Linked DNA regions of Oryzias latipes. The protein of the gene in region 1 purifies or fractionates together with the protein of each later gene. This does not show direct contact. Links are inferred from orthologs where the notes say so. Each region holds a gene or a part of one and is shown on either strand. Other genes may lie near its edges.

Evidence for each region.
Region 2: the proteins of spata5l1 (region 1) and timm13 purify together in Homo sapiens (co-immunoprecipitation; 3 studies listed by BioGRID and IntAct, with this or other methods). This does not show direct contact. The link is inferred for Oryzias latipes from reciprocal best matches to the Homo sapiens genes AFG2B and TIMM13.

Annotation. Positions count from the first base shown.
Region 1 is NC_019861.2:12,896,652-12,899,483, reverse strand, and holds the end of spata5l1 (spermatogenesis-associated protein 5-like protein 1), read right to left. Parts: coding exon 2,719-2,832; intron 2,627-2,718; coding exon 2,399-2,626; intron 2,315-2,398; coding exon 2,180-2,314; intron 2,084-2,179; coding exon 1,958-2,083; intron 832-1,957; coding exon 694-831; 3' UTR 631-693; downstream 1-630. UniProt on the Homo sapiens protein: ATP-dependent chaperone part of the 55LCC heterohexameric ATPase complex which is chromatin-associated and promotes replisome proteostasis to maintain replication fork progression and genome stability.
Region 2 is NC_019862.2:8,256,287-8,259,630, forward strand, and holds timm13 (mitochondrial import inner membrane translocase subunit Tim13), read left to right. Parts: upstream 1-1,323; 5' UTR 1,324-1,452; coding exon 1,453-1,572; intron 1,573-1,658; coding exon 1,659-1,727; intron 1,728-1,897; coding exon 1,898-1,996; 3' UTR 1,997-2,676; downstream 2,677-3,344. UniProt on the Homo sapiens protein: Mitochondrial intermembrane chaperone that participates in the import and insertion of some multi-pass transmembrane proteins into the mitochondrial inner membrane.

The DNA.
Region 1 (2,832 bases):
GAGTGGAAGTTTGACATATCTAATGGTTTAGTCTCGCTGTAGTCAAAAAAAAAGACATTACTTTTTAAAGTGAAAAACATTTTTATTTTCCTTCAACCAGAGAGCCACAATGGAGGGGTCACCGAGCCACAGGCTGCAGACCCCTGCTTCAGATGAAAGCTGATCCGTTTGTCACGGTTCTCTGATGTTATGGAAGTTGCTCTGAAAGTGGCCTGAACATCTTCTGTGTCGCTTGTCCATGTCCCATCATTGCAGAATTAGCTTTTGGGGTTTCAGTCCGTTGAGTTTATGGTGATACTTAAAGCAGGAGCTGGCCAGCGGTTTGGGGAGTGTTGGGTAAATGCCACCAACATGTCTATTAGGCTGGTCAGCAGAGATAATCATAAAGTGCTGTTATTAGAGTTTGTGAGTGTAGTAGTTGGACCAACAACAGCAGTTGACACTGTAATACCTCTGGTTAATAAGTGTCTTGATATGGGGAATGCTGAAACCAACAATTGTCCTGTGTGAAATTCCTCTTGAAGCTCCGGCACCAGGCAGCAGTGCTCTCATTGTCAATCTCCCCGAAACTTTTAAAATGGCATTCTTATCTAATTGTGTAGTAACAGATAACAAAAAAAACACATTAAACAGAGTTTTTCAATATTTATTTGAAACCTATAAGTATCACATCCATGACTGAAGAGGGTAATGTTATCTGGGGGTTGTTAGATATGCTTGGATCTGCTGGGCAGTGAGTGAAGGCCTCATATTGCTGAGTGAATCCAGAAAATGTGCACGTTTGATCGTTGAAGCCTTCATGTTTTCCTCCAGTAGCGCCAAAAGAGCAGCCTGGTAAAAAGAAAGGAACAGAAAACAAACTTTGCTTTCATGTATTTTTCTTTCTCTGTAGGTTCGTTCTGCCCTCGTAGAACTGAGGAACATAGAGTTACAATGTAAGATATTTTCAAAATTAAGTAGCAAGACCAAAAACGTTCTAAATGCAGGTGATGGCTGTTGTCCCGGCTGTCGTATTCTCAGTATGCTTCACCCATATCAAGACTTTGCATTTAATAAATAGACTAAATACATTACTTATTTTAAACTTAGACATTTTATTTGCTTTATGGTTTAAGAATTAAATCGTATTAAGCAAAATAAAAACTAAAAGGAAGTGGATGAAACAGCTGTGTATGGGGAGATGTTCTGACACTGATGAGAAGGCAGCCTTCAATAATTACGATAGTTTATTCATTGCTGAAAAAGCCTGGATAAGTGTTTTTTTCTGTTGTCGTGGGATAGAGCAAAAGGGGGAACTAAAGACCCAGTCTGATCAAAGTCTTTTTTTGAGTGTTTTTAACATGTTCTTCTTGAAAATTGCATTTGTGAGTATTTCTTAATTTTTTTCAAAAAAGTCAAATAAAATGCTGTTTTAATAAAAAAGGTCATATTTGTTTAGTAGACAATGTGCTACAAGCTCCCTGCTGCGCTCCATGCTGATGCATCTGCCTGGAAACATCCAGGTGCACGCACGTCTCCGTTGCCCTCATCTGAGCCGGCATCAGTTTTAAAACTTTACGGCTGGATACCTTCATTATAGATCGCCAATTTTGTTGCAACGGTTAAGTCAGTTTGGAGTTGTGAGGGGCTGTAAGTTAGCAGGAAAGCATGTAAACAGAGAGCTCTCAGTTATGGGTGATGGGAAGGGGGCACCAACAGTCTCACCAGCGATTCAGAGGCAAATTTCTAATAAACTTTTGTTTCTCTGCAGAAACTATGTCCTAGAAAACAACACAGATTTTTTTAAATTTTAGCTAAAAACTGCATCATTATAATTTAAAAAAACTGGGAACGGTTTTACAATACATCAAAAGATGATCGCAGTGGATCTTTAAAGGCTTAGATTACTTTTCCCTTCAAACTCCAACATAGAAATGTATATTTGTTGACAGACATTAGTTGCCTGGGACAGTTTTACCTCTTTACACAGATTTTCCAGGTCTGCTCCAGAGTAAAGCTCAGTCTTATCCGCCAGCTCCTCCAGACTCACATCTGCACAGATGGGCATCCGCTTTGTGCACACCCTCAAAATGGACAACCGTGCCTTGAAACACAACACAGGTAGTTGGAGAAACTGGAAATAAAAATGTGGGATTCAACACTTTTTTGTTTGTTTTCTGCTTTCAGATACGAAATGTACCTGTTGATCGGGCGGCGGCACATAAATAATATGGTCCATTCTTCCTGGTCTGAGGAGGGCGCTGTCTAAGCAGTCTGGTCTGTTGGTCGCAGCTACAACCATCACGTCTTTGTTGCACACTTCCTCCCACTCCAACTGTAACAGAGAAAACACAGCTGATGAGATGAGGACTCATTCGGAGCTTTGAAGGCTTTCAGACACGGTTCTTCCTCGCCGGACCTCTTCCTGTGCTCCACTCTTGGTCATTCCCTCTGCCTGCAGAGTCTTCTCTGCCCCCCTCCTCTCGGTTGTTTTTACACCGATCCCGTCCATCTCATTCAGCAGCACGGACAGGAGACGCGTCTGCTCGCTGTTCTGTGTCTCGTTGGTGGACCGGGAGCCAATCAGAGAGTCGATCTCGTCGAGGAACAGGATGCTGGGAGCACAGGCGCGGGCCTGGCGAAACAGCTGCAGATGCACAGACAGAAGCACACGCATGGACCCAACCGCAGGAAGGAATCAAATCTGTCGCAGACTATATCAAACCTTTAGAGCCTGACCTGAGCTAAGGCCGCCTCTGAGTCGCCGACGTAAGAAGAGTAGAGGTCAGCACTGCTGACCGACAGGAAAGCACAGCTGGATGAGGTGGCTGCAGCTTTAACCAGGGTGGTCTT
Region 2 (3,344 bases), on another chromosome or scaffold:
TTTGGTCAAAAGAGCCTGATCATGTTTTTCAGTTGATTTTTCCCCCCTCATGTTTTCTATTATACCCATGAGGAGGAATGCATAATCAAAGCTCGAATGACTACATTTCCTTTTAAACATTAAAGCAAGTCAAACAGCCTTATGTGACCTCAAAGGGTTATGTAAGAAAATACATAATATTCACATTTTTTATAACTGCTGGTGTCACTGAAGCCTCCTTTAACAAGCTGACTGGACCAAATACTTTCAAGCACAAGAGCGCTTAAGATTACGATTTTAAGAAGATTAGTTTAATGAACTCATGATTATAATCTGGATTTTATTTATTTCTAGATGAACTGTTCTGAAGACTGTTTGCAGTTGTGTGTGTATGCAAGCGTTGCTCCATAATTAGTCCAAGGCAGGCATGTCCCTAATCAGACCCCCCACAATTATTATTCAATGGCCCAGTGTTGCCATAAAGCAGTGAGAGAGTGTCCGTTGAGACAACACTAACCGTCACTTTATTGTTGCCTGCAGACTTGCATGTTTGTTCAGTCAAGGCAGGTGGTCTCCTCTGTGAGGTCATGGTGTGCGAAACATAAGGAGAGGAGTCTTTGGAGGGGGTCACCCTCAATCCCAAGGTCTGAGCACAAATCAAAGCAGGGACATCGCAGAAGGAGACGTCAGTTTTTATTTGAAATCATGGTAGGAGGGAACGATTTGTATACTGACATCTTATCTGCTGAATTGATAGTGAATTGGTCAAAAAATTTTAACATTTAAAACTTACACTGTGTTTAGTGCAATTGGATATAAAAATTATTAAAATAAACATTTGAACCCTTTTTTATTTTAATTAACTCAAAGTGTAGAAAATATTGAATTTGTAGATCAACATTTTTGCAATAGAATAATTGCATAAGAATAATGGAATAATAATAATAATTGCAATAGAATAATTACCACAAATAAATGTAGATCCTTCCAGATCATCCTTTGTATACAGTGCCTATGAAAAAATCACATACTCTACAGGTTGCATCACGATGCAAAGAAACAGCCTTCAGTCTGCTGACTGGGAAATTGTTTTCCTTTAGCGCCCCCTGGAGGCTAATCTTGTAGCACAAAAGGCATTTTCAGAATAATTGGTAACACTGTTGCTTTAAAAAAGCTTGACTCTTTAGTTTAAAGAGTTTACACAACACGTGTGAAAAGAAAACAACCAAATAAACAGCAAATATAACCAATTAACAAAAAGTTATTTAATAACCTAATGGTGACTGAGCGATTTACCAATTATAACTACATTTCCTATAATTGCTGATCTTCTTCGACGGAAATGACGTTTACAGACTTCCGCTACATTCAAGGGCACCGCAAAGTCCCGCTGGTGAAATTTAGCTACAACAACACACGTGTGCTGCCAAATACTTCACTAAAGTCGTGGTTTTGAGCTAGATTCGGGTGGACATGGACAGCTTTGGGTCAGACTTTTCATCCGGAGGTTCTGGAGGTAAAATGGACACCGGAACCATCATGGAGCAGGTTAAAGTCCAGATCGCGGTAGCTAATGCACAAGAGCTGCTGCAGGTAAATCAATGGCTGGAGAGTTACTAAGCTAGCAGGGTTTTAGCCTGCGATGGTCATGTTTATATAAACTGATGTTTCTTTTACAGAGAATGACTGATAAATGCTTTAAGAAGTGCATAGGTAAACCTGGGAGTTCTCTGGATAACTCTGAGCAGGTATGTGTGCGTGAGCTTAGCCTTCTAGCTTTGTAGAATAATACACCATGTCTATATATTTTTTACTTTTTTTTTTAAATTAGAACTAGTGGAACCCTAGAATTAATGTGACTTCCATAAAAGTGTAGCATTCTCTAATAATGCTGTTCATCTGTTGGTGTTTTTTACAGAAGTGCATCGCCATGTGCATGGACCGATACATGGATGCCTGGAACACTGTATCCCGGACGTATAACTCCAGACTACAGAAAGAAAGAGCTCGCCTGTGAGCCTCCTTCCCGTCTGCCTTCCCCTGCTGTCTGTGAGGATCTGCTCGGTGCTCCGCTGGAGGTCACAGGCTGTCCACACAGCAGCAATCTCTGCCATAAAACCTCCATGACAGGCAAACAGAGCCTGTGGACTCCTAACCATATTGGTGTCTCTGTGGACAGTTTTACTCTATATTTGAGGGGAAAGTCTCTAAAGTTTCATTATTCCTTCCTGTAGGTTTTACAGCTGTAGTGCTCATAAAACAGGGAAGTTTGTCAAAATAACATGGTGTCACAGATTGCTTGGACATTAAAGTGCAGATTTAGTTTTTCTGTTATAAGCATCCATAAACATGACTCTTTATTTTATTTTTTGTAAATCCATGCTGATGCATATTTAGTTTGAGTTATACTAAAATAAAATAAAAACAGTACACTATTGGTATAAAGTTTTCCCTTTAATGAATTTATTGAATCCTTAAAGTTTTTCTGTAAAAATTCTTTTTACTTCATACAGGCAGTGTTTTTTTTGTATGTCGCAGAAACGTCCACATTTCTTTGCAGAAAAGTGGTTTAGCAGGCAGCCATTACTGCGTAGCAAGTGACTCCAAACTTCATTCATGCTGCCCTTTTTGTGTGTGTGTGCAAGAAACCCCTGCTTTTAATGTTTCCCAGTGAGATTAAAAACTTTTTTTTCACTCTTTTGATCATGGATTTCAGTTTAATAAAAACAGATTTGATCACAGAAAAAAAAACAGCATTTTCAGTCATCAGGAAGACTGAAGGTGAATCTCAGTTTTTTGACATTCACAAGCCTGCAAACAGCCTGATATCAAAATACAGCTGGAGAACAAAACCGTTCTGTTTGACACGTTTTCTAGGTGTCACTCTATATCCCGGCCTCCACAGTGGGGGGCTTGTTCCACAGCTTCGCTCGAGACCCAGCTGCAGTTTGCAGGACAAACTCGGTCCTCTTTTTCCTTTTTAGCAAGCAGACTAAGAGGAATTACTTTCAACAGCAGAAAAAAATAAAAACATTTCTTTTATGTTTATCGTCAATAAAAGCATAAACGTTACAGATGAAATAACATAAGCTGCACTTATCCATCTCAAGTGAAAGAAAATAAATATTTAACCAGAAAAATGCACCAAGAAAAAAACAAAGTACACTTTTGCCCCCGCCAAAAAAAAAAAAAATTGGGGGTGAATTCTGAGAGTTTTTTTTTTTTTTAAATAGTTCATATTCTGTGAGTCATAATGTAATGTTTTGATTGCAGGAAATCACGTGTCTAAATGCACTGATGTCAGATACCCCAACAAGTTTTTCTGTTCACCTGTATATGCTCTCAAGTCTGTGGCTGACTGGAGA